Daphnia pulex: one gene and its partner. The protein of the gene in region 2 purifies or fractionates together with the protein of the main gene of each other region. This does not show direct contact. Links are inferred from orthologs where the notes say so. Each region holds a gene or a part of one and is shown on either strand. Other genes may lie near its edges. The genes, in order: RNA helicase aquarius-like and pre-mRNA-splicing factor syf1 homolog.

Region 1 (4,470 bases), on a different chromosome or scaffold from region 2:
GCCTGTACATTTCCACCAATGCTGTTTGTACAGTTTTACTTCATCGTGGAAGCTGTGATAAATCTGAGAGTGAATAAATATTTTAATTTTAACCAATAAAAAAGTCTAAAAGAAAATACAGGGCTTACTGTGATTTTAGTTCCACTTTCTTGGTTGATTCTGTGCATATGAAATTGAAATTCTGGACCATGGCCATCCCTGTCCCTGTTGTTGTTCGTCAGGAACAGGAAGGCGTGGATCATTTCATGCTATTAGAAATAATAGTATTAGTATAAAAATTTTAATTCTAAGGAAATTATTTGTTTACCAGAAGAGTTTCAACAAGATCCTTTCTTGGTCTCAATTTCAAAAGTGGTACACTAAGGCTGATGGAGCAATGCCCAGATCTCCTTCCTTCATACCTACACAAACCAGCACACCTACAAACAAATTCATTAGAATACACTTCTATGGTTGTTGAACTGATTCAAACTATACACAGTCATTCTCGGGCTCCATTTCACCACAACACTTTTTAGCTGGCTAGAAAAAAAGCGATCATCAAATTGAAGAAACAGACTATGAATATCGGGGGTGGGATCCAAATATTCCCATTCTTCGTCCACGATAGAGTTGGGATACATTCCATTTTTCTGTTTGCTTATCAAACTCATTTACTGTTCTTGATTTAAAACAAAATGTGCAGTGGCCAATGGAGTACTGAATTACTGATCAAAGTCACCGGAAGTCCGGAACTATTTACAAACTTTTGAATCGTTGAAGTTCTTGATTTCGTCTGCTAATGTTTCTGTGGCAACACAGGCAGCGGGCGCCATACATCAAGATTTTAAACGTTTACTGATATCATAATTATTCAAGGATTTAATCCTTTGGGCACCTCTTTGAAAAATAAAATTTATTTTTCACTTTACCAATTACTCAAAAAAAGTCAGAAATTTTTTTGGAAAATAAGGAGAATGGCGGGTGGCAACGTCGTATTTACACTTAAATTTAATAAATCCTAATTTTAGAGTTTAATAAGAAAATATATTGAAATAGGCCAAAGGGGAAGGTTGTTTGGCTTATAAGGTTGCTTGGTACACGCTCGTACTCCATTGAGCTGCATACTGGAACTTAATTGAGCCACTTTGCGTTGCCGAGTGAACGGTAACGGGCCACGATACTCAATCAGGGGTTAATCGTACGTCTGAATGACACTACTTCGGAGCGTGAGACTAACTAGCAGAGTCATCACTGAGGTTGAACGGGTTACAACCTTTGTGATAGACATCCTTTACAGGCTTACAGCAACCGGATGCTTAATAGTTCAGAAGGAATTATTTATTGTTTGTTGGTTTACTATTTGACTATATATTGATGTATAGCAGATATGCAATATTTTTTTTCAAAACTTGTATGTAAAACAGATTCCAAAACTTGTTCAGTTGTTCTGAAAATCACATAACGAAAAAAAAAAAACAAATCGACCGCTTTGTTTAGTGTCCAGAGCCGCCGCTTGGGTTTCATCGTCTGCTGCCGGTTTCTGTGGCAACTAGGCGCCATCCGAGTTTTCAACTTTTCAAGCTGATAACTTGCTTGACGTTTCAGGCATTTTTAAAACGTATATATTGTTACAAAATGGAAAGCAAAGATCGAAACGATGGTTCGAGTAACAAGAACAATGAGAATAAAACACCTTTAACAGTCGATCAAATCAATTCTGATCGAATCACACAGGTAACAAATCTGTTGCATCAAATCCTTCACTATCTAACACATTTTCTTCAGGTTGCATCAAAATACTGGGCACCACAAACATGTGGAAATCACATGGATTTCGACGCCAGCATAGTTGACCAAATTTATCACCAAGAAGTTCAAGGTGCAAAATTCATGATTCGCCGGATCATGATGCTTGAGTTTAGCCAGTATCTGGAAAATTACTTGTGGCCAAACTACAAACCCGATAATTCCTCTGCGTCACATGTGTTATCAATAGTAATCATGGTTAATGAAAAATTCAGAGAACGTGTATCAGCATGGCAGGTGTGTGTTAGTTCTGTTATTCAGATAATATGTTAATTTACATTATTTATTATGTTGTTTTTGTTTTAGATTTTCCAAAAACTTCCAGAAAATTTTCCGAGCCTTTTTAAACAACTGATGGAAATGTCCCTTGATGAAAAATGGGGACTTAGTTTTAAGGAACGAACCATGATCCTCATCTTTTTTAACCATTGTTTCAATAGCCTTGAAATCGATCTGATCCGTGATCAAGTTCAGAAATTGGTCTCATTGTCTATTTGGACTTGTTTACCAGAGGTCAGTAAGATTACAGTAAAAACATCTTTTTCAGACAATTCAAGAGATTACTAAAAAATATCTTGAATACATTTTAGGGAAGAAGAGAACAAGAACTCAATGCTTTTCCTAAACTCAGAAAGTTTTGGAAAGTTATTCAGAAAAAAGACTCCAAAGAGAATGAGGATTCCAAAGCTAAAGCTGATTTTGAGCGAAGATTCCTTCAGCGTTTGATGCACAAATTTCTCTCCCTTTTAGCTACTATTCCGTTGGAAGGTAAAGATTTTTTATTGTATACGATTTTGAGAATTGTAATTAAAGCGTTATTCCAAAATGATACGTATAGGAGACATCGACGTAGAAGCAGTTCACTATTGCGAACGTTTTTTGGAGTTACTGATTGACTTAGAGGCTTTACTGCCCACTCGCCGCTTCTTCAATGTCGTCATGGACGATTGTCATCTGGTCACGCGTTGCCACCTGTCAATGTTGAATCAACGAACTGAAGGGAAACTATTCTCGCAGGTCAGTGTTTTCACTTTCAGTGTATTTCATTTGCGATTTTTTTAAATGCGCCTCGAGTTATGTAAACGTACAAAAGAAAGAATAAGCATCGTCCACGCAGTGTTAAACAACAAGGCTAGATCGGAGTTCCGAGGGCCATCATTTCTTCGCCGTAGTAGTGTCCCCGATCTCTTGTTTTCGGTGGGAAGCAGCGGCGACAAAGCCAACATTGCGACATTTGCAGGCGTATTTTCAAAAGGTGCATGACGCGGCGTCCCTGTAAAATCAAAAATAATTTAGATTCGCCTCCAATTAACGTGCTTATCATCCATCCTTTTTACTTTGAGGGCAGCCCAAAAAATTAGAAAAGGCAGTACAATGTCAGCCAAGATCCGTAGGCCGACTAAAATAGGATATTGTAACCAAGAAAATGTTTGGATTATCCAAACGGTTTCGATGATGAGGAAGAGACGGGTGTAAGCCTGAAAGCTAATGCAAATGAATGTTTTAATTACATTTCTTTAACTCAAAGGAGATCAGGTTTTTCTTACTATCCCTTGGTGCGGTGAAATGTCCGTCCGTAGGCCGTCTGATTACTAAGAGTAGAGCGAGTGGCAAAGTACACGTAAATATTGACCAGGAAAAGGAAGACGCAAGTCGAGCAGAATAGGGCTAATCCCAACCACCCTGTAGAAAATGATTTCCTTTTAGCAATGTGAAATTCGCTTAAAACTTGTTTCGCGATTCTACTTACCGATTCTGTACCAAGTGAAGAAACTGTGAGGTGAAGTGGTCCCGTGTGACTGGTCTTCAATGAAAAAGTGCACCATAACCGCTAGACCTGTCACACAAACCGCTGAACCCCACGAATACAGTGAATAAAAAACGTAGCGCTTTCCTTCCGGTCGCATGGCTTCTTTCCGTGGGTATCTATCAAATTGTAGAAAGAAAAAGTCGTTGGTTTTATTGAAGTATTAGTGATATCAATTTCATTTAGATTACCTGACGGCCGTCCATGCTCGGTGTCCGATGGCACTGAGCCAAAAATGAACGGCAACGTCTGAGCCATGAACCACCGACTCCAAGAAAAGTAAATTGAGGTACGGACTAGGTCGAGAATCGGCAGATGAGAGAATTAGGTTGCTAATCATGGTGACGATCATTGAAACGACGAGGCTAATGAGCATGCAACCACTCAGATCCCGTAATTCTTTGAGAACGAGATGAATTCCGGTTAGCGTGAGCAATACCAACAGGCCGACACCTAAGCCGATGGGGTAGAAAATTCGCACAAACATTTCGAAAAAGTCGCTCTCATCCAACGGGCCCGGCTCGCAGATGAGAGCGTAGTAGACCGGGCCGTCTGACGGAGGCGACAACGGTGCTGAACTTGTGTTTTCGGCACCGTTTGGTAATCCGTGGCCGAAATGTGACACGGATCCCAAAAGTCTAACACCGTCCACGCAATACTGATCAAGTGGATATTCGTGGTGACGAGGAACCTCAGCCAACTTGTCCACCACGTGACGCAGGACACCGAAAGGTCTTAGTTGTAAATCTTCCTGAAATCCGGCGTATGTAAAGATGGGCCAGGCTCGAAACTAATTTTTGCGTATATGGAAAACACATGTCATTTTCATGAAAATGTTGAATGAATTAGTAGTTTTGATTTTTCTTTACCGGTCC
Region 2 (4,471 bases):
ATCCTTACCGAAGATCCCCACTGTGAATCCTGAGTAGGTTCGTATTGGTAATAATCATCGCCAGGAGCTCCTGGGCCAGCCATGAACTCATTGGCGTAGGGATCAGGTACTATAGGTGGTGGTGGTAACATCATTGGTGGTGGAATTACTGGTGGCGGCATACCAAATGGAGGAGGTAGAGCCATATTTGGAAAACCAGGAGGAGGACGTGAGAAATCGATCGATACGGGAGGTTTCTCCACAGGAGCTTCAGGCTGATATTAAAATGAAATTTAAATAATAAACTTTAAAGTTTTTTGGTTGACTTTGGATGAATATTTTATTAAGGATACGGGGCCTTACCACTTCGGGAGGTTGCTCCTCCATAGAAGGAGCAGGTGAAACGCCTGATTCTGGTCGGCGTGAAGATAGATTCCCTCCACCAATGACATCAATGGCACCAGCCATTTTGCGTGCTGGCGGAGGGCCTGCTTTTTTCACAACCACTGACCCCGCATATTTTGAATTTTCGTTAACCACTGATATCGGAATCGCTTGGGCCGGGGTCGCCATCATCTGAATCAAAAAATAATAATATCGTCTTTGAGCTTCATTTGTTTACGTATTTTATTACCTTGGGTGGGGGTCCTAATCCAAGGCTAGCCGGAACACCAGCCCCAGACTCCATACGGGATCGCCTTTGTCTCTCACAATATGCTTGCCACGTTATTTCATTGAAACCGTAATTAAAATAATCAGTGATATCAGCACCAGGCTTCCTCCAAGGTTTATCTTCCAGCGAATCCAAACTAAATTCATGTGCTGGTACACCGTTAATCGCCATTGAGCCTTCGAACTCTTCCACAGTGAACTTAAGATAAGATACATATGTTAAAAACAAACTCTTGCATCAAACATGATGTAGCTCAATGTATACTTTGCTCTTTTCCCCCAATCCTTGTGCCGTTGTTCCAGCTGTTCCTCTTTTGACATTAAAACCAGCATAAGCTGCTGGGCCAGATTTTATGTCACCAATCGTGATTTGTACGTCATCATCACTTTCATCATCCTCATCGTCATCATTGTCTTGATCTTCATCTTGTCTCTCATCCTTTTCTTCGTTAGTCTCTGCAGCTTCTTCTGGATCTTTTACAATAGAAAATACAGGATGTTAAAACTGTTATGGGAAAACCAGACAAGCGATTCAACACAGGGAAAGAGACAAGGGATAATAGTTGAAGAACTTTTCCATAATTAAAAATGTACATGAAATTACCATAGCCTTCTCCAGCGTATTCCGTATTTCCGTCATTTCTGTCTATGGCAATATGATCTTCATTTTCGATTTCGTACATTTCTCCATTACCGGTGGTGTCTTGGTCGATTTTTCCATCATCGCCCTGAAAAAAAAAGAGACAAGTATCAATTTCAGTTGACGAACAATAATTTTTTTTTTAAACTCACGTATTCATCTGGTAACTGTTCCGAGGAATAAGGGAATTGTGAATTAGAATTATCTGCCTCATCTGGGTGCCGGACAGTGTCGGCCATATTCGGTTGTAAACAGCAGAAGACCCCACTTCAATTTAGGCCTGAGGGGACAAACAACAGCGAATGTACGCTTGTGGCTTGTCGGCTGTCGCTGTTTCACATCAAACGCAAAAATAAGGTATTTTTACTATAAAAACTTGTGATAATCCATTTTTATAATGATCTCGTTATATAAAAAGACGCTATTAGGGACAAAATTCAACTTTAATTTGGGTTAGACGTAAGTGTGCAACTTGGCAACACTTCACCCGGCAGACGTGCATTTACGTTTGGTTCGTAAATTTATTTGTTAAATTTTATTTGAGCCGAGTGGCTGCGAGAAAATTCATAAACAAAATGGATAAAAGTATAGGGAAGAAAACTGGAGACATTGTTTTGGTAATAATACATTGTTTTATATTGAAGTTGACTAATAGGTTTTAACAATATGTCTTCTGTCTTTAAAGTGTGAAGAAGATTTAGCGTATGAAGAGGAGATTCTACGGAACCCTTACTCTGTCAAACATTGGCTTCGCTATTGCGAGTTCAAAAAGGATGCCCCTCCTGTTGTTGTCAATTTGATTTATGAGAGAGCTTTGAAGGAAATGCCTGGCAGGTTCGTTTGATTGGTTCTTGTAGTAGTACATAGTAAATAAGTTTGTACTCATTTTCAACTATCCACATGTTTGTCTCTTCACAGTTACAAACTATGGTACAGTTATCTCTGCCTAAGAAGGAAGCAAACTAAAGGTCGCTGTATAACAGATCCACTGTATGAAGATGCCAACAATACTTTTGAAAGAGCATTGGTATTCATGCACAAGGTATCTTAAATGCCAATTATATTATTATCACACATTATTAAATACCATGTTTTTAATGAATACCATAGATGCCAAGGATTTGGATGGACTATTGCAAGTTTCTGACTCTTCAACAGAAGATTACCACTACGAGAAAGGTCTTTGACCGTGCTCTAAGAGCCTTGCCAATCACCCAGCATTCCAGAATTTGGCCCCTCTACTTGAAGTTTGTTAAAATGCATCCAATACCAGAAACAGCTGTTCGAGTTTTCCGTCGTTTTCTTAAACTATCGACCGAAGATGCAGAGGAATTTGTCGATTACTTAAAATCTATTGACAGACTTGATGAGGCAGCTGTTAAACTTGCCCAGATTGTGAACAAGGACAGCTTTGTTTCGAAGACAGGAAAATCAAACCACCAACTGTGGAATGAACTGTGCGAACTTAATTCGAAAAATCCCAAGCAAATTAAAAGTCTTAACGTGGATGCAATCATTCGAGGAGGTCTTCGACGGTGAGTGTCTGGAAAAAAATTAAATGCAAATATTTTTACAAACATAGGAATAATTTACTGGATTCTTATGTAGGTACACTGATCAACTTGGCCAGCTTTGGAATTCCCTTGCCGATTACTATATTAGAAGTGGTTTGTTTGAAAGAGCAAGAGATATTTACGAAGAAGCCATTCAGACAGTTACTACAGTACGAGACTTCACACAGGTAAAATACTTTGTGGTCGTCTTATTTAATGCGAATCAAGTTAACGTTTTTCTGATTTACGACAGGTGTTTGATGCCTATGCCCAGTTTGAAGAGTTGAATTTGAATCATATGATGGAAGAGATTGGTCAGAAACCTAATCCTACAGAAGACGATGATATTGAAGTTGAGTTGAGGATGGCCCGCTTTGAGGATTTAATGGATCGCCGGCCCTTGCTATTGAATTCTGTTCTTTTACGTCAAAACCCCCATAATGTCGCCGAGTGGCATAAACGAGTCCAGCTTTATGAGGGCAAACCTCATGAAGTTATCAATACTTTTACCGAGGCTGTCCAGACAGTCGATCCAAAGCAGGCCATTGGAAAGGTGCACACGCTGTGGGTCGACTTTGCCAAATTTTATGAGAAAAATGATCAGATTGACGATTCACGGATAGTTTTCGAAAAAGCTACGCATGTAAGTTGTTTTTGCAGTGCATTAAAAGCCTTTGATCCCCTCATCATTTTTGTGTCACTTTAAAGGTGAAATACGTGAAAGTTGATGAACTGGCGACTGTTTGGTGCGAGTGGGCCGAGATGGAGATCCGAAATTCTCATTTCCAAGAAGCTCTCAAGTTAATGCACCGTGTTACAACTCCTCCTGCACGCAAAATTAATTACCATGATGACGCCGAACAAGTGCAAACACGTGTTCATAAGTCACTGAAGGTATTTTATATTTTTAGCCACTTCCATTCTAATGATCTCTCTACGATTGTCACATTTTTATTTTCTAGATTTGGGGTTTGTACGCTGATCTTGAAGAAAGCTTTGGTACTTTCAAAACATGCAAGGCCGTGTATGACCGTATCCTCGAGTTGAAAATTGCAACACCGCAAATCATTATGAACTATGCCATCTTTTTGGAGGAAAATAACTACTTTGAAGAAGCTTTTAAAGCTTACGAACGTGGCGTTGCTCTTTTCAAATGGCCCAACGTGTACGACATCTGGAACACCTATCTCTCAAAGTTTTTGAAACGCTACGGCGGCTCAAAATTGGAACGAGCTCGAGATCTCTTTGAACAGTGTCTTGAGGGATGTCCGAATAAGTTTGCCAAGACTTTCTTTATGCTCTACGCTAAACTCGAAGAGGAACACGGCTTAGCCCGTCACGCTATGAACGTTTACGAGAGAGCCACCAAAGCTGTGCCAGCAAATGAGCGCTTTGACATGTACAATATGTACATAAAGAAGGCATCCGAGATTTATGGTGTGACCAAGACGCGCCACATCTATGAACGATCCATCGAAGAGCTACCCGATCACCAGGCTAGGGAAATGTGTTTGCGATTTGCCGATTTGGAGCGCAAATTGGGAGAAATTGACAGAGCCCGTGCTGTATACGGACATTGCAGCCAAATGTGCGACCCCAGAGTTGCGCCTGAATTTTGGAAGGTATC

Evidence for each region.
Region 1: the proteins of pre-mRNA-splicing factor syf1 homolog (region 2) and RNA helicase aquarius-like fractionate together in Homo sapiens (co-fractionation; 3 studies listed by BioGRID and IntAct, with this or other methods). This does not show direct contact. The link is inferred for Daphnia pulex from reciprocal best matches to the Homo sapiens genes XAB2 and AQR.

Annotation. Positions count from the first base shown.
Region 1 is NC_060021.1:10,929,605-10,934,074, forward strand, and holds the start of RNA helicase aquarius-like, read left to right. Parts: upstream 1-1,509; 5' UTR 1,510-1,617; coding exon 1,618-1,716; intron 1,717-1,767; coding exon 1,768-2,025; intron 2,026-2,094; coding exon 2,095-2,301; intron 2,302-2,378; coding exon 2,379-2,556; intron 2,557-2,626; coding exon 2,627-2,805; intron 2,806-2,806; exon of another isoform or gene 2,807-2,920; coding exon of another isoform or gene 2,921-3,061; intron 3,062-3,125; coding exon of another isoform or gene 3,126-3,273; intron 3,274-3,335; coding exon of another isoform or gene 3,336-3,471; intron 3,472-3,538; coding exon of another isoform or gene 3,539-3,714; intron 3,715-3,786; coding exon of another isoform or gene 3,787-4,385; intron 4,386-4,464; coding exon of another isoform or gene 4,465-4,470. Other genes in the region: DNA-dependent metalloprotease dvc-1-like, read right to left, coding at 1-63, 129-248, 308-419, 478-653; probable G-protein coupled receptor Mth-like 5, read right to left, coding at 2,921-3,061, 3,126-3,273, 3,336-3,471, 3,539-3,714, 3,787-4,385, 4,465-4,470.
Region 2 is NC_060020.1:2,902,863-2,907,333, forward strand, and holds the start of pre-mRNA-splicing factor syf1 homolog, read left to right. Parts: upstream 1-1,557; 5' UTR 1,558-1,648; intron 1,649-1,709; 5' UTR 1,710-1,866; coding exon 1,867-1,908; intron 1,909-1,976; coding exon 1,977-2,125; intron 2,126-2,209; coding exon 2,210-2,333; intron 2,334-2,401; coding exon 2,402-2,826; intron 2,827-2,899; coding exon 2,900-3,032; intron 3,033-3,097; coding exon 3,098-3,487; intron 3,488-3,552; coding exon 3,553-3,738; intron 3,739-3,806; coding exon 3,807-4,466; intron 4,467-4,471. Other genes in the region: pre-mRNA 3'-end-processing factor FIP1-like, read right to left, coding at 9-254, 343-555, 614-850, 917-1,125, 1,256-1,379, 1,444-1,530. UniProt on the Homo sapiens protein: Involved in pre-mRNA splicing as component of the spliceosome. Involved in transcription-coupled repair (TCR), transcription and pre-mRNA splicing.